Oryctolagus cuniculus: one gene and its partner. The protein of the gene in region 2 interacts with the protein of the main gene of each other region in a biochemical or structural test. Links are inferred from orthologs where the notes say so. Each region holds a gene or a part of one and is shown on either strand. Other genes may lie near its edges. The genes, in order: CREB1 and PRKACA.

Evidence for each region.
Region 1: the proteins of PRKACA (region 2) and CREB1 form a complex in vitro, tested with the Homo sapiens proteins (2 studies listed by BioGRID, with this or other methods). The link is inferred for Oryctolagus cuniculus from reciprocal best matches to the Homo sapiens genes PRKACA and CREB1.

What each region holds. Positions count from the first base shown.
Region 1 is NC_091434.1:32,227,172-32,242,393, forward strand, and holds part of CREB1 (cyclic AMP-responsive element-binding protein 1), read right to left. Parts: intron 15,098-15,222; 5' UTR 15,090-15,097; coding exon 14,976-15,089; intron 9,637-14,975; coding exon 9,490-9,636; intron 8,765-9,489; coding exon 8,723-8,764; intron 5,942-8,722; exon of another isoform or gene 5,876-5,941; intron 1,147-5,875; coding exon 1,046-1,146; intron 1-1,045.
Region 2 is NC_091447.1:62,973,792-62,989,455, forward strand, and holds the start of PRKACA (cAMP-dependent protein kinase catalytic subunit alpha), read right to left. Parts: upstream 10,615-15,664; 5' UTR 10,474-10,614; coding exon 10,452-10,473; intron 7,040-10,451; coding exon 6,978-7,039; intron 6,649-6,977; coding exon 6,520-6,648; intron 2,862-6,519; coding exon 2,763-2,861; intron 1,960-2,762; coding exon 1,877-1,959; intron 319-1,876; coding exon 192-318; intron 116-191; coding exon 20-115; intron 1-19.

The DNA of each region.
Region 1 (15,222 bases), on a different chromosome or scaffold from region 2:
AGGGTTAGCTTAATAGACAAATTTGAATGAGGGACAATCATCCACTCCTTTAAAAAGTAGGATTATGCACAAATACAAATAATTTAGACTAACAACAGGGAAGCTCACTATAAATCTAAAGCTTACTAAACTCTGAAGTAAGCTTATCAAGATTTGCAAATTGCCCCTTTAGCAGATACATAATACAGAGCTAATTTCTACATATAAAAATTAGTTTTGGTCTACACCTTGGAGGCAAGGTATTACCTAGATAACATGTATAGCTGAATACAAAGGCTATATTAAAGTGCCTCTAATGTTAGGGGATGTTAGCAAAGTATCATCTTAAGACAACTATTAAATTAACAAGTAATAATCTGCTAAATGCCATCACATAAAAAAAACAGTTTGTGATGACAGCTAAACAGATAAATAGCATGGCCTCAGAACTGACATATAACTACAAAATACTAAAATTTAAGCATTCCAAACTTTGTTATATAAAAGTAGTAAGCAGCAGAGTTTATAAAAGGCAGAAAAAATTTTTATTTATTTATTATAATTTTTTAAAAAAATTTTACAGATAGAGTTAAGACAGTGAGAGAGAGAGAGAGAGAGAGAGAGAGAGAGAGAGAGAGAGAAAGGAGCTACGCCGATCCGAAGCCAGGAGCCAGGTGCTTCCTCCTGGTCTCCCATGCGGGTGCAGGGGCCAAAGCACTTGGGCCATCCTCCACTGCCTTCCCGGGCCACAGCAGAGAGCTGGACTAGAAGAGGAGCAACCAGGACTAGAACCTGGAGCCCATATGGGATGCCGGCGCCGCAGGCGGAGGATTAACCAAGTGAGCCACAGCGCCAGCCCCAGAAAAAATTTTATCTAACAATGTTGAGAGTAACAAGTGCCCTTAAAATGTGCATGATAAACTTTAACTTATTTGAGTGAATTAACTCAAGATTAAGAAAAGTAATTTATATGGTAGAGGCTAGAACAGCTAAATGGTCATCTGACATCTTTTCATCCAGTCACCTAGGGTTTCCTGCATATCTTTGATTCTGTTAAATTCTGTACCTGTAGGAAGGCCTCCTTGAAAGAATTTCCCTTCGTTTTTGGGAATCAGTTACACTATCCACTGACTCCTGTGAATCTTCACTTTCTGCAATAGTTGAAATCTGAAAATAAAGAAGAACTTTATCTTGATAATCAAATTTAATTCCAATAAAATTTAATGAATTTTAAGAAAAAGTCATATACAAAAGTACATACATAAACCTTAACACAACTAAGTAGAGGGGGAAAAAAATCAGTTTTTGCATGTGTTTATAGTCACACCAATTTTTTCTCCCTCTTGTTAAATACACTATAGACTATTTAAGAGGAAGTCAGATAAATTAAACATTTGCAGCTTAAATGAATGACTCCACGTAATAAATCCTAAATGCATCAGTATTACTTCTGACATGTGGGAATAGTGGGCACACCAATATTTTCCTTTAACTACCATGTAAAAACTTATGAATGTATTAACATTTGTCCAAATAAGATCAGTAATCCTTCAATACATTCCAGATAGTTATTTTATCAAGTTAGGAAACAGTCATCTGTTACATATATAGGTATTTCAAAGCTGGCATTCTACAATTACTTTTAAGAAAAAATTGAGGGTAAAGAACTCTGCATTCCTAAGAGGTGCTCCCAGGCTGAAAAATAATGAGGTGAATAAAGATTTTGCATGGAATGTTAATACTAGAAACTAGAATTCATCACTAACTTACTATGTGCCAGGTGTTACATGCTAAAGCACTTACATATATTTAACACTCATTAATACTTACAGTAACATAGGGGCCAGATGGGCATTCCTATTATATCCATTTTATATATAGAAAAACTAAGTAAGGCACCAGGGGATTAAGTAACTGTTACAAACCACAAAGCTAAGAAGTAATAGAGCCATGAACAATATTTAGCATTTCCATTTTACACATCCTTATCAGCTTCAAAATCCTGGTAGTTCCAGTCTCAAATACCAGTTTTGACAGAAGCAGGAACCAGATGGCATTTTAAGACCATTTCTGGACCAAGAAATTACTAACCTAAGTATGCTTGCCTGTCAAATTTATTCTGCCAGGTTCCTCTAGTCTAATCAGCAGGAGCCTCATGCTCTTTCCTGATGTAGGTACACACGATGCTGTCAGAGACTTAGATCTAATCAAGGCAAAAAGATCTCTCTGTGTTAGCTACACATGAAATGTATGGAAATAGCAGTAAGAAAAATCATATTTACAAGTAGCTGAGAAATCCCAAAGGTGTTCTTTACGTGGTATGAACCTAAAGGTTCTAGAAGAGTGGGCACTGATAGGGCTTTATGATATGCATGCTCATTTTAAAACAAAAATCCAGTAATGGTTCATAAAATATATCTAAAGTAATGTGCCCCATCCAAATTTAAGTATAAACAGTCTTATAAATCTAAAAACCAACAGGCAATATTTAATGAATCTAACAATAACAGATCAAATGGTGGGCAAGGCTGAATTTCATGCAGGATTCTTGGCAGAGTAACAATGTAGTTATGGTCAAAGGAGCAGACAGAAAATTTTCCTGTTAAGCAATAGCTGCTTTAACTAGCCAATCCAACACAGTCTCTGAAAACCATGAACTATGACCACAAACTATGGGGCCAGTGCTGTGAGGCCTGAGAGGCCGTGATAACAGATCAAATAACTGGGTGTCTAACACCCATGTGGGAGACCTGGACTGAATTCCTGGTCCTTGTCATTGAGGGCATTTGGGGAGTGAACCAGCTGATGGGAGGAGCTTGATCTCTTCTGCCTCTCAAAGATAAAATAAATACAAAATTTTGTGAAGAATTATCAAGAGTTTACATCCCAATTATAACTATCACAGATTACCATCACATTCCAACGACAGAACCCTTTCTTCCTCATCTTCTCTAAGTTCTTAAGTTCTTTACATAGGTCTTTAGTTTCAGACATTTATAAGTAAGTCATAAAAGCTTTCAAGAAGCCAAAGTTACAACTTCTAAAGTTTTCTATCTGTATTTCTCAACTTTGGTTTGTTTAAAACCCACATCTTCTGATATATGGGGGAAAAAAACTCGGTTTTAATTATTTGGAATTTCAAAATAAACTACATAGTGATTAGAACTAAATCAAAGTAACAGTAATAATAGGTGATTTCTTTTTCTTAAGATTTATTTTTATTTATTTGAAAGCAAAGTTACAGAGAGAGAGGTCGAGAAGACAGAGACAGAGGTCTTCTATCTGCTGGTTCACTCCCCAAATGGCCCCAATGGCCATCTGAAGCCAGGAGCTTCTTCTAGGTGTCCTATGTGGGTGCAAGAGCCCAAAGACTTGGGCCATCCTCCACTGTTTTCCCAGGTGCATTAGCAGGGAGCTGGATTGGAAGTGGAGCAGCCAGGACTCAAATCAGTACCCATATGGGATGCCAGCACTGCAGGCCAGGGCTTTAACCCACTGTGTCACAGTGCCAGACCCTATTACATGTTTTCTAGAACTGTACAAGGTTCCCTAGAAACTTAAGTACTTTCTGGGTAGAGGGGAGCCATGGTTTAGGTTCAGTTTTTTACTCACTGGATCAAGAAGCTTAGTGAAAGTCTAAAACAGTGATCCTTTAAACTCTTTTGATCTGCAGATCTCTCCTTATAAATAAGAAAAACTTACCTAAGTATACACATCTTATTTGCAAACATTAAGAAGTGTGTTACTTATATTATAAAAGAATTCTTAAGATAAGTATAAATATTAAAAATTTCTAAGCTGCATAGATTAAATTTTCTAATAGACTGTGACTTAATATACTTTATTAAGTCATTTAATACTTTATATAACAGTGATTTAGAAATATGATTCTAAATTAAAATGTTATCTTTTTTTTTTTTTTTTTGACAGGAAGAGTGAACAGTGAGAGAGACAGAGAGAAAGGTCTTCCTTTTCCACTGGTTCACCCCCCAGTGGCCACTGCGGCCGGCGCGCTGTGGCTAGTGCACCGCGCTGATCCGCAGCCAGGAGCCAGGCGCTTCTCCTGGTCTCCCATGCGGGTGCAGGGTCCAAGGATTTGGGCCATCCTCCACAGCACTCCCGGGCCACAGCAGAGGGGCAGCCAGGACAGAATCTGGCGCTCCGACTGGGACTAGAACCTGGGGTGCCAGCACCGCAGGCAGAGGATTAGCCTATTGAGCCTCGGTGCCAGCCCAAAATGTAATCTTAACATCTGTTTGTTTCAAAAAAAAAGGAACTCATAACTCATGATATGTAGATAGCAAAGGTAAATGCATTAGGCTGTGCTTACCAAGCAAAATAACAATTTTTCATTTTAATTTACCACTTCTGACTAGCTCTCTCTAGTATATTTTCATCTCCTTGACTCCACATCATTAACTGCATTCTAATAGGAAGGTGTTAAATTTAACTTTTTTTTTTTTTTTTTATTTTTGACAGGCAGAGTGGACAGTGAGAGAGAGAGACAGAGAGAAAGGTCTTCCATTGCCGTTGGTTCACCCTCCAATGGCCGCCGCGGCCGGCGCGCTGCGGCCGGCGCACCGCGCTGATCCGATGGCAGGAGCCAGGAGCCAGGTGCTTTTCCTGGTCTCCCATGGGGTGCAGGGCCCAAGCACCTGGGCCATCCTCCACTGCACTCCCTGGCCACAGCAGAGGGCTGGCCTGGAAGAGGGGCAACCGGGACAGAATCCGGCGCCCCGACCGGGACTAGAACCCGGTGTGCCGGCGCCGCAAGGCGGAGGATTAGCCTAGTGAGCCGCGGCGCCGGCCAAATTTAACATTTTTAACAAACAAACTTAACATTTTACTAAAACTCTGGAAGACTTCTGAGCAGTTTAGAATCCTGTTTCTAGGGTCTTGAAAGTCAGTAGACTTGAGGGCTTTTACATTTTATTATCTATTTGAGAGGCAGAGAAATAGAAAGTGCCCATCTGCTGTTTTACTCCTCAAATGCCCATACAGTGAGGCTGAGGCAAGAAACCAGGAACACAATGCAGGTCTCTGATGTGGGTGGCAGAAATCCAATTAGTCAAGGCACACCACTGCCTTGGGTCTACAATGGCAGAAGGATGGAGTCAGGAAATGGAGCCAAGAATAGAACCGAGGACTCACATGCAGGATGTGGGCATCTTAATGGCTGGGCTAAATGCCAGCTCCTGAATTGAGTTTTTAGAGAAAACAAATTTACACTGTTTATGATTGAAAAAAAAAAAAAGGATCTCTTCAGAGCACAAGTTTCTTTCACAAAGCAGTTATTCTGTCAGTCATGGTAAAATGTCCCCCCCCCCCACCCCCAAGAAAGGGCTGTTCAAATGGTTTTCTTTTTTCAAAAGTACCTGTTAGGTAAAATATCCCTTGTGAGTCCTTGCTTGCCATTAGTAAAAGGAAAATTTTTGAACACTTGTCTTAAGAAAACTCAAATAACTCATCTTTTTGTTAGACAATTCTTAAAAACTTGCTATGTGATAATCACTGAACCTCTAATGTTGCACAAGATTTTTACTGTTGCTCCTATAATAAAATATTGTAAAATTCTATCAAAAATAGTACTTGCAATGACTCTCTTCCTTTCTTACTCTAGTCCAGCATAGTCTTCTTGCTATTCCTTGACATCCCAAGCATATTCACTTCCAAACCCTTGATTTTTTTATTATTATCTGCATGATTTAGGCTACTTCACTGTCCTCTGGTCTTTGCTCATCTCTGATCACCTTCCATAAAACACGCCCTTCCCTCCATAACATTCTCTATTTCTTTTCCCTGCTTTATTCTTCTAACACTTATCTTCGACTCATATATCTTTCCAGAGTTTCTTTTTTCACTCAAACATGATCTTCATTAGAATGAACGGTATTACCTGTTCGTTACTGTCTTTCACAACTACTAGAACAGTGACTGGCACTTAGCATACGATCACCAACATCTGTTGAAAGAATGGATGTAATAAAATCCATAAATCCTCTGTCCAGCACATTTAAACTGCACTATATGGAAATGTGGCCAAAACTAATGAATGAAAAGGGAAGAAGCCACTGTGAATTTCATTACATCATACAATTCACACTATTTCTGTGAGGATGCTCACAAATTATGTGAGATTTGATTCACATACATGTACTTACATACATAATGTATATGAAATCTCAATATAGCTAAATCTAATATTTTTAAATTAAAATATATAACAGAAGTCCTAATATCTTATTCTCTTATCAAGAGAAATGTACCTTGCATATTTTTGGAAACTTTGTTCTGGAAAACTAACATTCTCTCATCTAGAAGTTTGAGTGACCATCCCTGATATAAACTACTTCCTAGTTAACAGTAATCACTTTCAATCAGTTATAATGAACACAGAAGTTTAATAAATTCTCCTTGGTTTAGAAGCTTTAAAGAATAAAAAGAGGGGCTGTCACTGTGTTGCAGAAGGTTGAGCCATTGCTTGAGATACCAACATCCTATACAGGAGCACTTGTCCAAATCCTGGTTACTCTTGTCTCCAAAGTAGCTCCCTGCTCCTGTGCTTAAGAAAGCAGCAGATCATGGCCCATGGGCCCTTGCCAACCATGCAAGAGAACAGGACAGAATTCTGGGCATTTGCCTTGGTTGCAGCCATTTCAGGAATGACCCAGTGGATAGAAGATCTCTCCTTCTCTCTTAGTCTCTGCCTCTCCCTCTGTCATTCTGCCTTTCAAATAAATAAATCTTAAAAAAATAGTATATCTGTAAAATCCAGGCTTTAAGAAGCCCAACTTTTCTTTTGCAAGCACACACACTTTAAATTAAATAGTTCACTTTAATGGAAATATGTATTGTTGTAAAGATGAATCCATATTTCTAGAAAGTTAATGATTATATAATCCCTAGGTCCACATTAGGCTGCCCCTATAAAGATTAAAATAAAGAATACAATCAACAGTTAAATATCACATAATATAACCAAAAATTACAATCTTAGACTGGGTCTGGCGTGTAGGTTGCCTGACTAGTAAGCCTAATTCTTTCCATTATTATCTATAGGAGGATATGGGTGGGGAATTAGCATAGCACAATATGGAGAATTAGATAAGGTAGCATTCAATGAAATAAAAACTGAGAAAAAGAAATACTGCTCAGTCACTGTGATTCCACAGAAATATCAACTTCATAGTTCTTCACTTGGTCAACACTGTATCCTACTTGTTAAAAAATTCCAACCCCAATATCTTATGGAAATTCATACATGATTCAAGATTTCACATGAAAACATTATTTCTTTTTCCCACTTAAGCAAACCAAAAGCATAAGAACAGAATGAAATATAGGTGGTAACAGCTGCTCAATGATTCAATAGTATAAAATGATTGACAAAACCTAGTATTTTTTTTTTTTTTTTGACAGGCAGAGTGGACAGTGAGAGAGAGACAGAGAGAAAGGTCTTCCTTTTGCCGTTGGTTCACCCTCCAATGGCCACCGCGGCCAGCGCGCTGCGGCTGGCGCACCGCGCTGAGCCGATGGCAGGAGCCAGGAGCCAGGAGCTTTTTCCTGGTCTCCCATGGGGTGCAGGGCCCAAGCACTTGGACCATCCTCCACTGCACTCCCTGGCCACAGCAGAGAGCTGGCCTGGAAGAGGGGCAACCGGGACAGAATCCGGCGCCCTAACTGGGACTAGAACCCGGTGTGCCGGCGCCGCTAGGCGGAGGATTAGCCTAGTGAGCCGCGGCGCCGGCCAAAACCTAGTATGTTTTTGATGATATTAACAGGATGCTTCCAGGACAAAGTAGGCACTCCTGCCCCTCTATGAATATTAATCAGTTCTGGCTACCATATGCACAGAAAACAAAACTGCTCTCATCCAGAAGAAAACAACCAGGATGCTGAAGAGAAATCAAAACTACACCATGTAATAAATGGCTGAAGAAAAATATGAGTTTGTTAAGTTGAAGTTTTCTTTTTAAAAAAAGTTTATTGAAAGTAAAGAGAGAGCAAGAACGAGGGAGACAGAGAAGGAGAGACAGAGAGATCTATTTGCTGGTTCAGCAAATGCCTGCAATAGCCAGCCTTGGGACAGGCTGAAGCCAGAAGCTTGCAATTTCCATCTGGGTCTCTCATGGGAGGCAGGGACTCAAGTACTCAAGCTGTCTCTCACAGTGTGCTTTAGCAGGATGCTGGACTGGAAGTGGAGCAGCCAGGACTTGATACCAGGCACTCCAAAATGGATGCAAGTGTCCCAAGGGGCAGCTTTACCTGTTGTGCCAGATGACCACCCCTGGCAATTTCTTAAAAATATAGTTTCTGAGAGATGTGACTGAGGAAATCAGTCAACAGAAAAAGAATTAAGATTTGCCATTCAGTTCAACGCAAGGATAAAACTGCAAGCACTAGGCAAGTTGTATAAAGCTATATTCTTTCACGACTGAAAAGAGTATTTTGGCAATTTCATCCTTAATTATAGGTAGGTTACTCAGGATATAGAACTTCCTTTCTCTGAGAGTATTCAAGTAAAGTTGGGCTATCGTTTGGAAGACAGGAAAAATATTATATACAGAAATTTTTATTTCTAAGGGTCAGGTAGGCAACAAGTTTGGTCTAGACCTAGAAATGTCTACCATTAAACAAAACCTTCAAATTCCATTATTTATAGAGGAGGAAAAAAACAAAAATAATAATTTCTCACCTTCCTTTCTAATAATAGTTCTCTTCAAATCTACGACCTAGGACTCACCTGTGTTCCGGAGAAAAGTCTTTTTAAGTCCTTACAGGAAGACTGTGAAGTAAAAAATATGAAATGGGAGGCTGGGGTTATGGCCTACTTGAATGAATGTTCAAGTCTTTCTTTCAATAAGCTCAATCGCAAGATCTACACCGCTTCTTGGTTCCCTACAGTTAAGTAGTGCAGTCACCTTCAGTGGTCTACAGTGCCTTTACTAATCTTTGGAATCCAACCCAAAGGAACAATATCCTCAAAGAATAAGACATTCATAGTATAATCCCTGACCCTTAAGATAAACTTTCTGAACACATTATTTCAAAATTATATGCTCTCATGGTAAACCCTAAACACAGCCCATTTTATGAATGCTTATGTGATCCCTTCAAGTTCAAAAATCTCAGGTAAGGTTATTAAATTTTGATCAAGGTTTATTTTTCTCCAACTGCAGGTTCAGAAAATAATTACAAGTTATTACTTCTGTATTTCAATTTTCCCTGAGGCAATCAGCCTTATACAGTCTCCCAAATCTTCCACTTCATCTCATGTACTTTTTTTGCCAATTATTCTCCTTCTATGACTTAATTTTCTTTCATGTCTGTTTTATACATATCCATTCCTTTACACAAGGTGACTATACAGACGCAGCCCATTTGTTTACCATATGAAGTAAAATTAACTCCAAACTAGATGTGTCCTTATTTTCAAAAGTAATGAAAGGAGAGGGATATGCCTATGAATAATAGACACAAAAGTGGATACAGAACTTTTTATACACATACCTGAACTGTTTGGACTTGTGGAGACTGAATAACTGATGGCTGGGCCGCCTGAATAACTCCATGGACTTGAACTGTCTGCCCATTGGGCAGTTGTACTAATGTTACAGTGGGAGCAGATGATGTTGCATGAGCTGCTGGCATAGATACCTATAATGTTGAACATGGAAAAAAATTACTATCACAGATACCTCCTTGGGACTACTCATGTTCAATATGAAGTAACATTTTAGAGGCAAAAATACTGATAGGAAATAAACTAAACATGCAATTTATCATTGTTTAAAAACAAAACCTGTAAGTCTCCCATTCTACTTTTCAACTCCTCCCAAATGACAAAAAAGTTATTGTAATGTAATGTAATGTAATATAATGTAATGTCAAAACATGTAACACAGATTTCCTCTTAATACTAAGCACCGGTTTATTTGTATAGTGCTTTAGATTTTCCCAACTGCTTTAATATCCCCATTTCTCTTGTTGTTCATCAAAGAAATTGAAGACTGGGTAATAAGGATTATCCCCATTTTAAAGACAAAAAATAACTGCTCAAAGAGATTAAGTAATGTACCCAAAGTCAAGCAGATACACTAGCCTTGAAGAAACAGTCTGTGGTATATGTGTTAAATAGCTATGTTCTAAATTCTAATTGTTTTCAAGCTTGGACAAATTAATGTAAAGTAAGTCCAGAACAAATATACATCTTACAATATGGCATAGCTTTCATTAGTGAGAACATAGTAACAAGTTTTATAAACTGTAAATCTCTATTCCTCTCCTCCTCAAAATCAACTATTACTGAACTGGTAATAGTTGATAGTTCAAGAATTTGTTTTTGTCTTGAATAAAGGGGCAAAGTTGAAAGAATATTCATATAAGAAAAAATAATTTTCTCCTGAGGCACAAGGAAGGCAATTTAATGAGTCAATATCCAATCTGAAGTGACCCTTAAGTCTTAAGTATCTATTAGATGGTATTTATTGTTCCTATGATTGAACACATTCGGGCGAGGAATTTTACCTGTTCATTCAGTATACAGTTACTGGGGATCTACATGTCAGGAACAATGTTCAATCTCAAACTATAAAAAAAGGATAAGATATGGGTCCTTGATCTCAAGGAAATGATTAGGGGTTGTGTGTGAAAGAATGGGAGAAACAGAAGTAAACACAATCAAGTGAAATAATGAGGTTTACAAGAGGAACATAGACACATTGAAGAGAGCTACCCAAACTAAGGACAGGAGGCTACTAGGCAAGAATGTGAATTTGAAACAAAGAACACAAGTCAGACATATTATTATGACTTCTAGGAGAGAGTCAGAACTTCAGGTAGAGAAGGTAACACTAACCAAAGCAAAGAGAAACAGCAGGAGCTATACATGACAGAGAAGAATAACCAGCAATTCAGTACTACTGGAGCACTTAAGTATGGTTACTATTTAATGTAGGAAGGAGGGAGAGAGAAAACAAGAGGCAGGAAGAGGCTGGATGAACTAGTTGTAAACAAACAAACGAAAACAACCCTGTAAATCACATTAAGGAATCTGCATTTTGGGGTTATTCAGAAAGTCACTGAAGGGCTTTTGAATTCCTCTCATTATGTTTGCATTTTAGATCACTTTAGTGGCAGAGTGAAATAACTAGAGGTTGGAAGGCTAAGCAGTCGTTAGGGTGAGTTGATAGGAACCAGAAATAAGGTGGTGGTGGTGGTAGTAACAGTCCTCGGCATTGTAGCAGGGAAGGGAATAAGAGAAGCAGAAGTAATTTTATGAAAATTTGCAGGCAGATCAAGAGGGGTTTTATGAATGGAGATGAAAGAGCAATCAAAGATGACTCATATGTTTTATGTTTCTAAGAAAATTGGTAGACTGTGTCATCAACTGAAACAGAGAATGTAAGGACAAGATTTTGGGTGGCTGGAGTTGTGGTAGAAGATGATGAAACTGACCTGACATCTGGGTATGCAGATGGTTAGCAGGAACTTAAAACATGTGACTCTGAATCTTGGAGGAAGATCCCTACTGTAGATACAGTCTTTGGCACATAAGTTGTTGAACCATGGAGTTTTCATCTTTGGACAATTAGGATGTCCTCATTAATTACTTTTTTTTCAGCTACTTTAAGTCTTGCTTAGTTTTAAGCTGGTTCTCAAAATGTGATCCATGGACTACCTGTATTAGAGTCACATGGGGTGCCTTGTTTGTAATATTAGATGATAAGAAGGACCCAAGGATACTTTCCTTGAGACTAAAATTTGAGAACCACAACCTTAAAGTTATTCAAGGAAAGGGTGAGGGAGGAAAATATGAGTATATATAAAAAAGCTTTTCTAATATTTGAAGCAATTATTATGTCCTCTTTTCTGAGTCTTCTCTAAGGTAAAAATAATAGGCTAACTAGGTAAATAATCCCTTTTCTAGGCTGATCATTCAACATAAAGGTTCTTCTTGGTGTAAGTTTATAACATACATTTACCCAAAAATAAAATAAAAATCCATTGTATTCCTACCATCCAGAGTTAATCACGTTAATGTTTTTGCTCTGGCTCTTGTAGGTGTTTTGTTTTTTAAGACACTTACACACAATCAATTTTTACAACACATTATCATTAAATCTATTTTATTTCTCAATTCCATTATATCTTTCCATACTATAAACAGTCTTCTTTAATATTTTAATGGCTACATAATAGGCAAAATTACATATTTCATAAATTCCTTATCATTGGATATTTAGGTTTCTAAATTTGCCTGTTACAAGAACACTACAACAAACATTCTTTAACCCAACTTTTTGCTTAAAACTGTAAAAACTTATATTCCTGTAGTCAAATCCAAAATTTTTCAATTTTAAAAACTTTCCTTAAATTCCAAAGCTAAAATAAGGTATCTCTCATTACTGTTTTAGATTGACCCTCTTCCTTTACCATTTAGGCTGAATTTGCTTTTTATCGAAGCACAATGATCTTAGGGTTATCTGACAACTTCATTCTACTTTCCAAGTACAAAAAAGTAGTAAGAATTATAAAAGGTAATTATGTCAAAAATAGATGTATGTGTTAAGGAACTTTGATGAGCAAATGAAAAAAAAAAAAACCCATTAACTGGGAATAAAAGGAATTAAAAACATATAAATGGAAACAGACACTAGCTTCCCTAAAACTCAAATCTGATACTGTCACTCCATTTTTAAGTGTTGGTGCTAAAGGGCTGCCTGATAAAGATGATAAACTGAACTTGTGTACACAGAATTTTTCTCCCACCTGAATTGCCAGTTAACTTCCTGAAATTGATTTCACTTTTATAGACATAAAAACACAAACACAGAATGGGAAGGAGATAAAGTAATAGTTTTGGAGGAGGACAGATGAATGGTAATGAACTGGGAAGACCTCAGAAGGCCAATTTATGAGCTGGGATGGAGGCAGAGAAAGCCTGATTTGTACCACAAAATCCTCAAGAAGTTCACAATCTATAGCACTTCAAGCAAAGAGAGGCCGACAATAAAGATGGCTTGTTGAAGGCTCTCTGAGAAGCAACTGGATGCCCTCCCCAAGGAGAATAATACCCAGCCATGAAAGAAAAAACCAGAAATTTATTATCTGGACAGCGGTCTCCAATTGATTAACAATAGCAGAAATCCCAGCCCCCTTCTTTTACTTGGCTCCCAAGCCTGTATCCTATAAGCACAAAATTTCTGACACCTTCTCTGGGGGTAACCGACACCAATAGTAAAAACCTAAAGGATACTGACATCAGGATCACCACAATCACCCTACAGCAAAGCTCATACTGCTAACTCTTCAACACCCACAGAGCTTCCATACAGCTTTCTGGTCCCATACTCTTGAACCTGACCTGAGCAAAACAGCCACAAATGATGAAACATTTGAGGAAAGCATCTAATATGAAAGATGGAGACCAAAACAAAGGGTGGGAAAATCTATGTGGGGAAAAGAAAACTTAAAATGAAACAAAATAATATTCTCAGAGATAGAAAATATTGCCTTTGTGATGCTAATGAAACATTATGCTAATGAAACATAAAAGAATTATTCAGAGAACAAGAGACTCCTGGAAATAGAACATCAGAAATTAAGTATTCAACATTGGAATGCATTGAGGAAATCTCTCAGAAAGCAGAGTAACAAGATGGAAAACAGGAGAAAAAAGGAAAGAAAATTAAGAGAAACAGTCCTAGAAATATAGTATCTGGATGACAAAAATTCTAGGGAGAAATGAGAAAGAAGAGAGGGAAAATTTTAATCAAATAATTGACAGAAATTGTCCAAAATTGAAGACATGAGTTTCCACTATAAAACGGCCCACATGGACCAAAATGTTTGCAAACTAAAACCCATAATAAAATTTTGAAGTACCTTGAACAGATTTTGTAAGATAACTAAAGATACAAAATGAAAAATTAATTTAGCTTTTCAAATAAGAACAAAAAATCGTCGTCACTGGACTTCTTTAAAAATTAAAAAAATATTTTTTTTAACAAGAATTCTTTTCATAGTCAAACCTTTAAGAAACGACTGAAAAATACGCTTTGAATATATCAAGAACACTAACTCCACCAGAGAGACAGCAGGGTAAAAGGAGTTCCCAGGCTGACACTACACAGACAGCCAGACCAGACAGACCAGCATGATCCAAGACAGGTATATCTGGACTGTCACCACCAAGATGCCTGCTGGTAGTGTATTTTCTTTGTTGAGCCCTCTGTTACCAAGTTTCATTATTGATTAGTAACTCTCTTGGGAGTCTTTAAATGCTTGTGGAAATGGAAGTTAGACACAGAGCTTCTGCTAGGATTATCTTCTCCTGGGAGCCTTCAACTAAAAGAGGCAATATCATACTTTTACCTAAAAGGTTGAAGTTTGCTATTTCATTTTTATACTATCACCTTTCTCACTGAAATATATGAAAATAGTTAATATTTGAGGAAAAATATATGAACAAAAAAGAGAGAGTGTATGTTATTAAAACAGGGTGTTAAGGCCAAAGACAAAATGAAAGAATCAGGAATTAGATTTAAAATATACAGGACACAAAAATTATCATCATTAAGATTTATTATATATCAATGTATTTGCTTATCCTATTTTTTCAGTTTAAGAATATAAGCTTTCATATTATCTTTATCTCTGTGCCCCAAAATAAATCTATATGATATTACAAAAAAAAGCAGTTGTCATAGCCAAGGTTTTATTTCCTTATTTATGAGAGCCAATTAACTTAGCCATTAATTAAAGATGTCATTCTTTCAGGATCATGGAACTATAAATACTGTATTAGTGTTTAACACCACATTTTACTGTTATGTTACTGAATTAATACTAGTATTTCTAAACATAGACTAATGCTAAGTAAATAAGAATTTTGATATTCTAAGAACACCTCTGCTCATTCTATGTATATCTCTGTAATAAGAACTAAATTCTCTTGGAAGAGACGACTTGGAATCTCTCTATGTATTTTATACCTGGGCTAATGTGGCAATCTGTGGCTGGGCTTGAACTGTCATTTGTTGGTTTTCAGCTTCTGTTACAGCTGCATCTCCACTCTGCTGGTTCTCTGCTCCAGATTCCATGGTCATTTAGTTACCTACAATAATACGGAAGAGTGTTACGAGCACTACAGTGCTTTGTGCTTTTGTGACTTTAAAGGCAAACTTCAGGTTACAAATACGTATATATGGTAGTTACGTTGGCGAATGCACTTAGAAATCT
Region 2 (15,664 bases):
GGGGCAGGGCGGCACCTACTTTGCTGAGGATGATCTCAGGGGCCAGGTACTCGGGGGTCCCGCACAAGGTCCAGGTGCGGCCTTTCACGCGCTTGGCAAAGCCGAAGTCTGTCACCTGCGGGCGCAAGAACAGGCAGGTCGGCGGCCCTGCAGGGGGCAGGAGGGGGCTCCCGCGGCGGGGCTGGGGGTACCTGGATGTAGCCCTGCTGGTCTATGAGGAGGTTCTCGGGCTTGAGGTCCCGGTAGATGAGATCCAGCGAGTGCAGGTACTCGAAGGTCAGCACGATCTGCGCGGCGTAGAAGCGAGCGTGGGGCTCGCTGGCGGGACAAGCAGAGGGGGCGGGGCCGGCGGGTGAGTGCCGCAGGCCACGCCCCCAGGGCACAGCCACGCCTCCCGCCTGGGTTCAAGTCCCAGTTCTGCACACACCCTGGGAGGCAGCAGGGGGCTGGCTCAAGGGCTTGGGTCCCTGCCCACCCACGTGGGAGACCTGGAGGGAAAGTTCCTGGCTCCTGGGCCAGCCCTGGGTGCTGGGAACATTTCTAGGAGCAAAACCAGCAGATGAGACTCGAGCTGGTGCCCACATGCCACAGTGCTGGCCTCAAAAAAATAATAATAAATTAAAAAAAAAAAAAACAGAAAACATGGGGCCGGCACTGTGGCATAGCGAATAAAGCTGCCACCTGCAACACCAGCGTCCCATAAGGGCACTGGTTCGAGTCCCAGCTGTTCCACTTCCGATCCAGCTCTCTGTCTGGGACAGCAGTGGAAGATGACCCAAGTGCTTGGGCCCCTGCACCCACATGGGAAACCCGGAAGAAGCTCCTGGCTCCTGGCTTTGGTGGCAGCTCCGGCTGTTGCGGCCAATTGAACCAGCAGATGGAAGACCTCTCTCTCTGCCTCTCTATAACTCTGTCTTCAAATAAATAAATCTTAAAAAAAAAAACAGAAAACAGAGGCAGGTGGTGTGGCTCAGTGGGTTAAGCTACCACCTGTGATGCCGGCATCCCATATGGGCACTGGTTCAAGTCCCAGCTGCTCCGCCTCCGATCCAGCTCCCTGCTAATGCACTTGGGAAGGCAGCCCAAGATGGCCCAAGTGATTGGGCCCCCGCACCTGCACGGCCCAGCAGGAGAGCCACAGATCGGGGTACGTCCGATGGGCGCTATCTTGCCCCCTACAGGACACACTACAAATGCACTCCGTGACCTGGCTAGATTCAAACACACTCTGAGACCGAACTTGGAGCAGAGGGAGAGGCAAGTCCAACCCAGACCAAGCCCAATCACGGGTCCCTTTATGTCTGCTATCTATCTATGTATTTGAAAGGTAGAGAGACAGAGAGAGAGAGAGAGAGAGAGACAGAGTTCCCATCCACTGGTTCACTCCCCCAAGTGGCTGCAGCAGCCAGAGCTGGGGCTGGGCAGAAGCCAGGAGCCAGGAGCCGCATCCCGCGTGGGTGGCAGGGGCCCGGGCACTGGAGTCGTGAGCGGATGCTTCCCAGGCGCATTGGGCAGGGCGGGGGACGGGGCGAGCATCCGGCCTGGCCGCTAAAGACGCCTGGGTCAGACGCTTGGTCCCTGCGTGTGCGCACCCTGGGAGGCAGCAGGTGCCAACGGCTCAGGAATTCAGGGCCCCTGCCACCCACGTGGGAGACCCGGATGGAGCTCCCGGATGGAGCCGGCCAGCGTGAAGCTTCACCCCTCAGCCGCCCCGAGTTGGGTCAGGAGTCAGATGCCAGAACGGAGAGAAGACAAAGCCCACAGCGGCCAGCTCCAGGCCCCAGCAGGCTGCCCACCGCTGGGATGGACAGGCAGGCAGCCTATGGATCCCATCCCCCGGGGGCGGGGCCGAGGCAGGGGGCGGGGCCCGGCTTACCTGAACCTCCCAATCCGCCGCAGGTGTGAGAACATCTCCCCGCCGGGTACGTACTCCATAACCATGTACAAGTTTGAGTTGTCCTGTGAGAGGCCAAGTTTGAGTTGTCTGGCTCCCTGGTGCAGGTGCCGCCTGCCCTGACAGGTGCCCCCCGGGGGAGCGGGCAGGGGGCCCTGGCCAGCGTGCCCCTCCTGGGCAGAGGGAGGGCTCTACCATTGGCTTTGCGTCTTAGAGACAGAGGAAGGTTACCAGGGCCCCCCAGCAAAATGCAACCAGGATTAAAAAAAAAAAAAAAAGATGAATTTCAAGATGGTGATGGCAGAGCCCCCCTCCCCCCCATGACCACAGGTCCTTGTGACCGCCTGCCTGGGTCGAACGCCCCGTGAAGCTGGCCTGGAAGAGGCCCTCCCGGCTCTTGCGGCAGGGCCTTGGACAAAGTTGCACCTAAGACAGGTCAGGAGAAAGGGCATTCGCAGGGAATGTGCCGGAACCTGTCGCCATGACCCTAACCACTCCCGGGTTACAGGAGAGAAGATGGAGGCTGGGAGGGGAGAGATGCCAGCCCTGGCTTGCCTGGCCCGGGATGGATGGGAGTGGGAAACAGGCTGCCGTGGGGCTAAGCACGCCTCAGCCCCAGGCCCAGCCTCTGGCCCCGGCCCCGGCCCCAGCCTGTGCTCCAGCCCAAGCCCCGGCCCCGGCCCCGGCCTCGACCCAGGCCTCAGCCCCAGCCCCAGCCCCAGCCCCAGGCCCAGCCCCGGCCCCGGCCCCAGCCACAGGCCCAGCCCCAGTCCCGGCCCCGGCCCCGGCCTCAGTCCCAGTCCCGGCCCCAGGCCCAGCCCCGGCCCCGGCCCCGGCCCCGGCCCCGGCCCTGGCCCCAGGACCTCACCTTGAAGGAGAACTCGAGTTTGACGAGGAACGGGAAGTTAACTGCTTGCAGAATGCGTTTTTCGTTCAGGGTGTGCTCGATCTGTTTCAGCTTCACCACCTGCGGGCCGGGAGCGGGGTCAAGGTCAGGGTCAGGGTCAGGGTCAGGGAGCCGGTGGGAGGGCCACCCCATCCCTGCCACGGGTCCCCCAGACCCCTGCAGCTGAGGGTCCCTGGGCTGGGCTCACAAGCCTGTCCTGGCTCAACACACACACAGCAAGATGAGACACCAGGACTCTCAGCCCAGAGAGGTCAATGCTGGGACAGGGGGAGGCTTGGGGCTGGTGCAAACCCAAATAAGGCACCGTGGTGTAGTGTGGGGAGAGGCGCAATCAGAGGTGGCTTCCTGGAGGAAGGGGCAGCTGAGCTGCAAAGAAAAATAAAAGGCAAGCAGAGGCAGGCCCTGTGGCACAGTGAGCTAAGCGGCCGCCCCTGGAGGGCTGCATCCCAAGTTGGGGCACCGGTTCAAGTCCCAGGTGCTCCATTTCTGATCCAGCTCCCTGGGAAAGCCGTGGAAGATGGCCCACGTGCTTGGGCCCCTGCCGCCCACGTGGGAGACCTGGATGGAGCTCCTGGCTCCCAGCTCCTGGCTTCCAGCCCGAAGGCGGGGCCATGGTGGGCACAGGAGCTCTTTCTCTGCTTTTCAAGCAAAGATTTAAAAAGAGAGAAAGGAGGAGACGCTGCCTTCCCCTTATCTAGCCCAGCGACACACAGTGCCCAGGCCTCAGGCTCTCCCCGCACAGCGCGGGCCAGGAGCCAGAGCCGGAGCCTCACCCGGGCTCTCTGGTTCAGTGGTGACAGGAGCCCTGAGAGGGGCATGCTGGGAGCACGCCGGTCTGGAAGTGCAGGCACAGAGGGGAGGGGACGTGCCCAAGGTCACACAGCCGGCTAGCGCCAGGCCAGTGCGCCCCACACAGGTGGCCTAGGTCCCCGGTTAGCTGTGAAGCACCCAGCCGGGGTGTTTCCTGCCTCGACTCAGGCAGCTGGACCCTTGAGGCCTGCACTGTGAGGGCCCTGGATGTGTGGCCAGTGGGCTGGCGAACCGAATTTAAAATTGTCAGTATTGGGGCCAGCATCCCATATGGGCATCGGTTCGAGTCCTGGCTGCTCCACTTCCGATCCAGCTCTCTGCTAATGCGCCTGGGAAAGCAGTGGAAGATGGGCCAAGGGCTTGGGCCCCTGCACCCATGTGGGAGACCCAGATGGGGGTTCCTGGCTCCTGGCGATTGGCCTGGCCCAGCCCGGGCCATTGCAGCCATTTGGGGAATGAGCGATCTCCCTATCTCTGACACTCTAGCTTTCAAATAAAATTTCTTTTTCAAAAATCCATTTATTTAACAGGCAGAGCTATAGAGACAGGGAAAGACAAAGACCTCCATCCGCTGGTTCATTCCTCAAATGGCAGCAACGCCTGGGGTTGTGCCAGGCCAAAGCCAGGAGCCAGGAGCTTCTTCCAGGTCTCCTACGTGGGTGCAGGGGCCCAAACACTTGGGCCATCCTCCACTGCTGTCCCAGGCCACAGCAGAGAGCTGGATTGGAAGAGCAGCAGCGGGGACTTGAACCAGCGGCCCTATGGGATGCTGGTGTCACAGGTGGCGGCTTTACCTGCTGTGCCAAAATGGCAGCCCCATTAAATCTTAAAAAAAGAAAGAAAGAAAGAAAGAAAGAGAGAGAGAGAGAGAGAGAGAGAGAGAGAGAAAGAAAGAAAGAAAGAAAGATAGATCTGAACGCTGACACTTGCTGTGGGGACTGGCTAAGCTCTCAGTGTTTGGAAAAACTTGGCCATGTGAATGTGCTTGTTCTATTTCTCTACTGTGTTTCCTCTTCCCGGGGAAAACTGTCTGAAGTGGAAACAGACACTGAAATTGTACAGAGAGAAAAAAAAAGAATGGAACATGGGCCCGGCGCTGTGGCCTAGTGGGTAAAGCCACCGCCTGCAGTGCCAGCATCCCATATGGGTGCCGGTTCCAGTCCCGGCTGCTCCTCTTCTGATCCAGCTCTCTGCTGTGGCCTGGGAAAGCAGTAGAAGATGGCCCAAGATCTTGGGCCCCCGCACCCACGTGGGAGACCCGGATGGAGCTCCTGGCTCCTGGCTTTGGCCTGGCACAACCCCAGGTGTTGCCGCCATTTGGGGAGTGAACCAGTGGATGGAAGATTCTCTTGTCACTCTACCTTTCAAATAATTAATCTGAAGGGAAAAAAAGAGGCTGCCTCTGGCTTAAGGAAAACACATTGAGATGAACTTCATCTGTTTCCTTGTACTTTTTTGGGTAACGTTTATTCTATTTGAAAAGCAGAATTACACAGAAGAGACAGACTGACAGAAAAGTCTCCCATTTGCTGGTTCACTCCCTAAATGGCCACAACGGCCGAAGCTGGGTCAGGCTGAAGCCAGGAGCCAGGAGCTTCTTCCAGGTCTCCCACACGGGTGCAGGGGCCCAAGGACTTGGGCCATCTTCCACTGCTTTCCCAGGCCACAGCAGAGAGCTGGATGGGAAGTGGAGCAGCCGGGACTTGAACCAGCGCCCATATGGGAGGCTGGCACTGCAGGCAGCGGCTGTATCCACTACACTATGCTACAGCGCTGGTCCCTCTCTCTCAAAAAAATCTATCTTTTCTTTTTCTTTTCTTTCTTTTAAAGAGCAATATATAACGAGACAAGAGACAGGGAGAGAGATCTTCCCATCCACCGGTTCAGTCTCCGAATGACCACAGCGGCCAGGGCTGGGCCAGGGGAAGCCAGGAACTTGGGTGGCACAGGTCCAGGCCCTGGGGCCGTCTCCCGCTGCCTTCCCAGGGGCACTGCAGCCGGGACTCGGCACTCCCACGGGACACCAGCATCCTACCCGGTGGCGGCTTCACCCACTATGCGCCACGACACCGGCTCCTCTTGGTGTTTCTGATGGGGCTACTGGGAAATTCGCACTCCCTTCTGGGGCTTGGGGCCCGTTCCTGGTAGACACTGACCTCGGGCGAGCATTTGGCCTAGCAGCGGGGCCGCTGGGTGGAACACCCGTATTCCACGCTGGAGGGCCTGGGTTCCAGTCCCGGCTCTGCTCCCGACTGCTAATGTGCACCCAGGGAACGGCGGCGCTGGCTCAAGTCCTTGGGTCCCTGCCGCCTGATGTCGGAGATCTGCATGGAGCTCTGGGCTCTCAGCTTCGGCCCTGGCCACCGAGACTTTTTTGGGTGTTTGGGGGTGTATGGGGGTGTGTGTGTAGCGAACCAGAGTACAGGAGTTCTCCCTCCCTGCTCTCTGCCTCTCAAATAAATCACTCAATAACAAATTTGGGGACAGAACGTCCACCTAGACGCCACTTCCTCCAGGGAGACCTCCGGGTTCCTCCCCACGGGCCATCGAGTGCCTTCGTTTCCCATCTGGGTGTGGCCTGTGGGCAGAAGCCTTGTGGAGGCCACTCAGGGCCCTTCCAGCGCTGGGGTCTGGGGGCTCAGGGTACCGAGTTGCCCCATGATATTCCCATGGGCTTGGCCTGTGGGCCCCCAAATGCCCAGCTGCCCGTGTCCCTTCGGTACAAGGTGCCACATTGGCACAGTGCACCCGCCCACCCCGTCCTGGGGATGCCGCAGCATCCAACACCCATCACCCTCCCGGCATGCTCTGGGGGCCCAGCGTGGTACTCAAGTGGTTTTGTTTCCTCGTGGAACTTTCCAGAACTTTCTGGAACATTTGGGCGGGGCGGGGCCCGTGGCTGCATCACCTTCTGTTTGTCGAGGATCTTCATGGCATAGTGGTTGCCGGTCTCTTTGTGCTTGACAAGCATCACCCGCCCGAAGGAGCCCGTGCCGAGGGTCTTGATGCGCTCAAACTGATCCAACTGCGCTGTATTCTGGGGGCGGCAGGGGGTTGCGGGCTGGTCAGGGGCACCCACCCCGGGCAGGGCGGGGGGCGGAGGATGGAGGGCGAGTTCCTCCAGGCGGCCGGCCGGGCCCAGATCCGGCCCTGGCCTGGGGCCCAGGAACTGGTGGCAGCTGTGTGGGGAGGGCAGGGGCCGCGTGGGGAGGCCAGGCGTGGACAGTCAGGTGCCTCAGCCCCCTCCCGGGAGCCCCCCGGGGGGTGTCCAGGCAGTAGGGGGAGCAGAGGGGGAGGGGGAGGCAGCTTGGGTCCCTGCCTCCCCCCACAGCGGGGTTTGGGGGCGAGGGGTGGAGGTGGGCTTACCTGAGCAGGATTTTCCCATTTTTTAAGAAAATCTTCTTTGGCTTTGGCTAAGAACTCTTTGACTGAAAGGAAGAGAGAGGATGGAGGGTCAGACGGGAGACCCACGGCCCCCCACGTCTTGCCCGGGGACACGCCCACTGGCGGGGAGCAGGGTGCGGCTGCCTCCACGCATCGCCCGCCCTTTGCCGGGTGCCTCTGGGTGCTGCTGGCTTGGCTCGGGCGGCTTGATCCGGGCTGGGGTCTTGGTCAAGGGTGGGGGATCTGGCTTCGGCGCCCGCCAAGGTGGGGTACAGGGAGGCTCGCGAGGGGTGGGGGTCGCGGCCCGGGGCACCCAGGCCCGCCCACCCCCACTCGCCCCAGTTCTGCCCGGCATTCCTCGCCCAGGGCCGACGCCAGCTGTGGTATTTATAGCGTCGGGATCTGGCCGTTCCCTTCTCTGGGGAGGCTGGGCCTGGGGCGGAGGCCTCCGGGGCTCGGGTAGCAGGCGGCCTTGGGGGGGCTCAGCTGTCGCCCTGGCCCCCAGCTGGCCCTGTCCGCTCTGGAGCTGGTTTGAGGACAGCCTTGGCTGGGGCCTATCCCTCCACGGGCCCCAGGGCATCTCAAGGCCAATGTCACCTTCCAGTTGACAGAGACTTCCCTGGCTGACCCCGGGCTGGGGGCTGGGGGAGGTGGTGGGCTCTCACCAGTCTGGCTCACCACCTTCCTCTTGGCCGTGCTACCCATTCACCAGCCCCGAAACTGAGGCTCCAAAACCATTTTTTTTTTTTCTGGCCCATGCGAAGAGACAGCCCAGCCAATCAGCTGAGGGCCAGGATTCCGGGAGTTCAAATCCCAGCCCGTGCTCTCTGACGCACTGGGCACAACTGACCGCGCCTCTGTTGGGGGAGGGGGCCTCAGTTTTCCTCATCTATACAATGGGGATGATAATGACAGCGACCTAACCATACAGGCAGCGAAGCTGTGTGGATGGCAGGAGCTCACTTTGGCAAAGGGGGGTTGGACGGTGGCTGGCGTGGGACACAAATGTTCCCTATTAATTTTTTTGCAGCATTCTTTTCGGTTGAGACAGCAGACTCGGCGGTAGGTGTCCAGAGCTTAACCAGGCAGTTGGATGAACATGGACAAGACACACGCACCCCCGAACAACACCCTACAGGCGCCAAGCCCGCCCTGCACGTGGTGTTTTCTAAGCGTCAGCCCCAGCCCGGCAGGCTCCATCCCAGCCATTGTACAGATCGGAAGACTGATCATTTGCCTGCAAGCCCTCCCCCACTGCTATGACGTGAGCCGTTTTTACTGCCGTCCCGGCCATCGGCTTCACCGCTGGTCACGTGCACTGGGGTGGACCAGGACAGAACTGTCCCCAGGCCCCAGATGCTTCGATGAAAACAGCCACGCGGAGCACACACGGCCCCCACCCCCTGCCCCACCGTGCTCCTGCCCGTCACTGGCACCACGCCCCCACTGTCCCCAAGGCTGCTGGCAGAGCTGGGCCCAGAGGGGACAGCCGTCCCAAGCTGGCGCCTGGCTGGGCCACCAGCTGGCCGAGAGACCGCTCTGGGCATGGGGTCTACTGGAGACGGTTTGCTCCCACATGTGCACACACACCCACCCACACAGGCACCTTTCCTCCCACAGAACTCTGGATTGGGTGGCGGGGGGAGGGGCGGGGCCCTGACCCACACAGGAAGGCAGCGGGGGGCCTGGTCCTGTTTCCTTCTTCATTGGCGCCCACTGAGCCCCCTCCCCGGGTGGGGCAGAGTCCCTAGCACAGCCCTCCGCTGGCCTCCCAAGGTGCACGAGGAGCCCAGGTCACGTCCCCTCTGCTGGGGCTGGGGGCAGGCAGCTAAGGGCGGTACTGGGGGAGGGGACCTCAGCCTGCAGACCCCGCCCCCACCCCACCCCCACCACTCACCTCTGCTTCTTGTGTCTTCCAGCAGAGGGGAGAACCGGGGGAGTGGGTGGGGTTGGGTGGTCTGGGCTGGGGGGCTCAGGTCAGGCTCGCTGGAAGGTGTGGCGCAGGTAGCTCAGGAGCCGGGCGGCCAGGTGGGCCCAGAGGAGCAGCTGGAGCCACAGCTGGAAAGTGGTCTCCGAGTCCGCACCCTGGCTCCGGCAGGACCCCGGCTCCATCCCAGCATCCCGCTGGCCTGGGCTCTCTCCTCACCCAGCACAGGAGCCGCCCAGCCCCCCGGGGGGTAGGGGGGAAGGGAGGAGGAGCCGGTTGCCACGGAAGCAGTTAAAAAGGTGCCTGCACCTGCTCCTGGCTGCCAGGGTCCACAGAGGCTTTCCCTGGCAGGAGGCGGAGGCGCGGACTCCCGGGGGTGTCCCTCTGCCCGGGGGCGGGGCGCCAAGGCCAACTTCCCCTTCCAGGGACTTGACTCTGGCTGTCAGGCCCTGCCTTCCTCACTGGGTGCCTGGCTGCCCCCTCCCCGTCCCCCCGGGGCCTGGGGCAGTGCCCACTGCGCAGAGGTGAAGGAGTTAAGGCCCAGGCAGCAGCCAGAGGGCCCCAGGGGGCTGAGGAGCGCCCTGTTAATTAGCTGGAAGAACAGCTGGAGGGAAAGGCTGGGCGGGGAGGGGGTAGGGAGGGCGTGGAGGGCCAGGGAGACCAGACACCCCGGGGCTCCCCCACCCAATCCTGCCACCCCTGAGACAGAAACGGGTGCGTGTGGCTCCCTGTCCCGCTCCCATGTGGGGGCGGGGAGGGGATCGACATCCTGCATGCCCTTGGCCTCTGTCAAACCTTGCCCTGTGTGCTTGGCTCCGCTCTGGGCCATGAAAAGTCCAAACCGGAAACGGACGGCTCAACCCGGGGGAGCGGGGGAGGGGGAGGCCGCTTGGCCATCTCCCTCCTTCTTCCCAGATCCCGGAGAGAAGCGGAAGGAGGGGCAGCGGCAGCCTCTCCCAGAGCACCCAACACCCGGAGTTGGTGGGGGCACCCTGCTGGTGACAGGAAGTCCCCCCGCTTCCCCCACTCTGTCACCTAGCTCCTAGAGGGCCATGGCACCAGACGTCCCAATCCCGCCGGGTTTTGATTTGGGGTCCCAGGGACAACCCCAGAGGACCCCTGACAAAGCCACGGCCGAAATCTAGAACTCCATCCTGCGGATGTAGGGTTGCAAGGGTTGTGTGTCCAGCTGGGCAAGGGGCTGGGGGGGGCTCCCTGGACTCCCCATTCCCGGACAATAACCCGAGACCCTCTAGGCACTCTGAAACCTGGCGGTCCTGGGGTGGAACTGCCCAGCCTGGGCGGGGGCCAGTACTCTGGCCTGGCCTGGATCCCCCACACTGGGCTGCACTCCCCTCCCATCGCTGGGCGCACACCCCCGGCTCCCCCCTATCTGTCTTCCTCGTCCCCAGGCCCCCCACAGCCTCCTCCTCCCTTCCTGCGCCCCCAAACCCTGCTGCAGCCCCCTCCCTGACTTGAGGGGCAGAGAGTGCCCAGGGAGTTGCTATAGCAACAGGGCTCAGCCTCACCATCACTGGAGTTGGAAGCCATCACTCAGTCTTCCTCACAGGGCATCCGAGCTACGGTGGCTGGGAAGGCTCACGAGACCTCGCCGCCCCAGCCTGGCGGCCCACCCCACGGCCCGGCCTGCAGGGGGAGCCGGGGAGTTGGGGGGCGGGAATGGGGACGGGAAGGCCGGTGAGAGGAGGGCAGGTGCAGGGGAGAGCTGGCTGGGACCTCCCAAGCTGCTGCTGGCTGCCTTGGGCTAAGAGCAAAGCTGTCTTGGCAGGACCCTCTCGGGCACCCATACAACTGCCAATGGGCAGAGGCGTTTGACCCTCTTGGGCTTCTGTAGGAAGTCGGAAGACACCAGTTCATCCCACCCAGGAACCTGCAGGACGCACCTGGGTGGGCTTGTCTCTGGGGCTTGGTGTCCCCACCAAGGGGCCTCTGGGGGGCTCCCTCCCACCACTCGGGCCATGTCCCTGTGACCCGGCTCCCCGGGGTGGGGGTGGGGGTGTCTCCAGCCAGTGCCAGCTCAGACCTGAGCTCCACTTGGCTGTCTGCCCCCTGGGGCCCCCTGGGGCCACTGCCCTCTCTCGGTTCCTCCAGCCTGGCCATGAGCCTTCATTTTTTTTCCCTTTGCTCTTTTAGCTCCTCGCCAACCCCCACTAAGCCCCTTGTCGGTGGCTTTGCCACCTTTGGGTGCCAATCTTCCCATCTCCACCCCACCCCAGCTCCTGGGCTTTAGGATGCTTGGCCAGTCCCCCGCAGGCTGGGATCTGGCAACATGAAATGCAGGTGCCCCCTGCAGGCTGGGCTGGCTACTGCCCTGGCCCCCGGCCCACCCTGGTCTAAGAGGGTAATTGCCCTCGGACTCCATCCTTTCAAGGGCTGTGAGGCAGAGAGGGGCTTCCTTTTCCCAGCCTGGCTCCTTCTCTCCCAGCCTCAGGAGGGCACCTTCCCATCAGCAGAGCAAGGATCGAGTTCCCAGTCCCTTAGCTAGTTACGTTGTATCCACCCTGCATCTTAATGCGGACCAGCGATGACAGAGGGGCGCAGCCTAGCGCTGGGTTGCATTCCTAGGACTGCTCCCCCCTGAACGGACATGGGGAATTCAACCTCCATTACTTTAATTAAGAAAACACAGGCCGAGAGAGAGCAGGAGCCCGAGAGGCAGCTTCAAGAATGTCCGAGCTGGGAGGCTCTCAGCTCCCAGCTCCCGGCGGCCAGGGACGGGTCTGGATCGGAATCCTGCCTCCGCCTGTGTCCCACTCAGAGACAGCTTACTTGGAGAGCGCCGATAAGAGCCCCTTACAGAAATCACCAGCGCAGACAGATGTGTCCACGGAGACCTACTTGGCAGGGGGACATTCTGGATCCCCTACAAACAGCAGCTCTGGGATCATCCATTTCTGCACTCAGAAGGAATTACCTGTTCCTTCCAGAACTGTGAACTTTTTTTCTTGGGATCTCCCCACCCACCCACCCAACCCTGGCCCCGTGCAGCTTCCCCCGCCCCTCTCCCTGGGGCCCTAGTGCACGTGTTAGCTACGCCTTGAAGGTTTTCCAGGGCTATGTCATCTCCCGAGCTTTCCACCGAGCCACAGCAATATATAGCCGCGTGCCTCCACCTTCCGCCTCACCTGCTGGGGGCCGGCCCCTCTCCTCCGGGCCCCAGTCCCCTCCGAGCGTGGGCTCGGAACTGTTTTTGGATACTACCCCACCTGCTCCTGGGTCATCAAGCGCTCAGCCACAGGCGCTGGCCTCCCTGTCCCCCGCCCCTCGGTGGCACGTCCAGGAGCTACTTAATTCTGCCAACTGAAGCAGGGAGGGGAGAAAGTTCTCAGGGCTACGTTCGCCACTTGCAGGGGACCCTGGGAAGCCCAGGGCTTGAGATCAAGAACTGGGGTGGGCAGGGCTGGGGACGCGGCCTCCGCATTTGTAGTTCTGCCTATGTGTGGGATATCCCGGCTGAGGTTCCACTCTGAGCCTGGAGTGCCCCAGATTCGGGAGCTGGGGGTGCGGGATTGGGCAGGGGGCTCCAGACCACTTCTGAAGGCATTTCCAGACAGAGGCACCTTCTCTGTCAGACTGGAAGGGGCCAACTTAATCTGGGGGCCCGGGCGAGGTGTGTGTGTGTGTGTAATGGGCTTCTCTCTCTCTCTGGCTAAAGCCCCGGCAACGATGAGAATCCATCCTTTGGCAAAGCGAATCCCTCGATGTCACCCACTGCTCTCTCGGACAGCCGCCCACCCCGTCCAAATCCTGTCCCTGACCCACGCCACCGAGACCAAGCAGCCGCATGGAACCCGGATGCTTTTTATCGGAAGCCAGAAGCAGGCAAAGGAGCCCCCCTCGTTGGGGGAGGTGGGGAGCCTCAGTGGTGGGGGGGGCCTTCCAAGGAGCCCAGGGCTCAACACACAGCAAGAGAGGGGAGGGGCTCTACCACGCGCCGCCCCCGACCCCAACAACCGAAAAGACAGAGCGGCAGTGGAATCTCAGCTCAAACTTGCAGACAGTCCACTCCCCCAGCCAGGTCGCCAGCGAGCCAGCTTGCAGGAGGGGTCCCAAGAACAGTGGCAGGATGAGAGAGGCGCAGAGGGACCCCTGTGTCCCCCAAGCCTAGGGACACTGAACAGGGAAAACAACACAGGGTGGGGTGGGTTTGGAAGTTGCAGGTGGTGGCTGGGGAGGGGCTGTGATAAGGTGAAGAGGGTTAAGGGCAGGAGAAAGATGGCCGGGGCGGGAGGGGGGAGGGGTGTGGCCAGCAAGAGGCCAAGGTCCCTGGCGGCTGGAGGCAGAGCCCCCCCTACCCCCGACAGCACTGGGAGGCTGGGAGAGGCCTGGGTCCCACACGTGGGAGAGGTGAGTGAGCAAGTGGAGGGGATTCGAATCTGGGGACTGGGGCCAGGAAAGGAAGGGGTGGGGAGGTGACAGGGCCCCATGTGGGGCCCCAGCGGTCATCCGTGCCATGGTTGGCAGTGACAGCTGGGTGGGTGGGGGGGCATATCTTCGCAGTGGGGGGCGGTCACTGGCCAAAGGGCCCCTACGTGAATGCGTGTGTGTGTGTGTGTGTGTGGGTTGTGGGGGGTCCTCTGCGGGCCCTCGGGCCCCAGCCTTGGACAAGCAGACAGCAAGGGGTGCTGGGGGTAAGCAGAGAGAGATGGGGGGGCGCCGCGGGGGGGAGGGGCCAGGCGGTGATGGACAGCCCGGGGGGCTGGCAGCGCGGGGCCGAGATCGGGGTCACGGCCTGGGCACTCACCACTCTCTTGCTCGCTGCCCTTCTTGGCGGCGGCGGCGTTGCCCATCGCGGCGGCGGCTGCGGCGGCCCGGGCCGGTCCCGGAGCTGCGGTGCTGCGGGTGCTGGCGGCGACCAGGGGCCCCGGAGCGCGCTGGGCGGCGGCGGCGGCGGCCCCTCGGGCTGGCTGCGCTTGCTGCGGCGCCGCGACCCCCGCCCAGCCCCTGCTTCCCGCGTCTCTCCGCGCCCGCCCGCCCGGGAACCTCAGCCCAAGTCCGCTGCTGCTGTCCGTGACGCCCCCGCAGCCTGCCGCTCATTGGCCTAAGCCGCCATGACTGACGGCGCCGCGCCGCCGCTCATTGGCCCCGAGAAACCTTTCCGCACCACCATAGGCTCCTGGCCCCGTGACGCGCGCGGCCATCGGCCCGCCACTCACGCGCTCGCAAGGCCGCAGCTGGGCGGGAGGACGCGCCCGATTGGCCGAGGCGCCTGGGGCCGGCCCCACGAGGCCGCCGATTGGTCGAGGCGCCCTGTTCGGCAGACCCTTCGCAGAACGTTCAGTGTCAATCCCGGGGTGAGAGGGCGGGGCGGAGGCGCAGTCTGCGGCCGGCCCGGGCCGGGCGGGGCGGCGGAGGCTGGCGGGCGGCCGCGCCGCGCTCCGAGGCCCTGGAGGCGGCCCCGGCCGGCGCCCGCCCGGCCCCGCGCGCGCCGCAGTCCCCCGCCCCCGCCCAGTGCGGCAGCGGCCGCCGGCCAGCCGAGGTGGACGCCACGGCCCGCCCGGCGCAGCCGCTGTCCACCTGCCAGCGGGGGGAGGGGCGCGGCCAGCGCCGCGGGGTCAGAGGTCGCCGAGTCGTCATTCATAAGGCCTGGCGTTTGGGGCGGCAGGGGTCGGGACCGGGGCTCTGCTTGGGTTTCCCGCGGATGCTGGGCCCGGGAGCAGGGGGTTGCTGCGCCTTTACTGGGTCCCGGCCGTGGGCCCGGCCGTGGGCTGGCACCCGCGGTGAGGAGCTGGCACAGACACTGCTTCGCAGCGCGCCCCTCACCTCGTAGGTCCCGCGATCACGCCCCTGGTACGGACGCGGAGTCTGGGGGCACCGGCGCTGACTGTCCTGTCTGTGCGGGGAGCGGGCACCTGTCTGCCAGGAGCGGCCTGAGGACCGAGGGGCGGCGCCCCCGCCCCAGCATCTGACATCTGGGGCTGGGCCGGAGGGTGTGTTCCGCAGTCCCCCTCCCCGGAAGCCCCCAGCTGCTCTGCTTCCTGCTGCTAGCCGTGGCCATCCACACCAGCATCAGAGTGGCTAGACTGTCCTGGACGAAGGTGGACAGAGGAAGACCCCGGCCGGGAAGGGCTGCGCGCCCACCTGCTGCTCCGCGTGGCGAGGTCCCCGCTCTCCTGCGAACCCTGGGGACGTGGCCGGCCGCTCGAGCCACCCCCTCTGGCTGTGGGGTCATCCAGTAAGGCTGAGGACAGCTTCTGAGTGTTTCTGTGTGTGCGCCGGGATCATACTGAGTTCTCCCAGCGGACCAGCTTGGGGGGCTGACTGGCGCCCTGACACCTCTCCCTCTCCTGGCATCAGGTGGGGCCCCACCTGCAGCCCCGCAGGGACACAGGGCCAGCGAGGACAAGAGCAGGGGGTGAAGTCTCCACCAAGTGCTTTTTATTTGCAAACCAGCGAACATCTTTAATATAAACCCCCTTAAATACACACGGCAGCAGGCACAGCAGCAGAGGGGGGAGGGGCGCTCTCTGGGGTCTCCAGTGCTCCTTTGGCCCCAAGTCCCTGTGGCCCGTGAGAGCCAGGTGCAGGCAGCCCGGGGCGGAAGGGCCCTCATGTGGCTGGGCGCCCCCACACCCCGCCATCTCCCGCCTGGCAGCACCCAGGAGACAACAGAAAGGGGACAAGGGACAGCAGGAGGCCGGGGTGACGGCCTTGGGCAGGCACGGCGCGAGCAGGCACGTGCAGGCGGGAGTCCCTGCTGCCGCTCGGGGCCTGCAGAGCG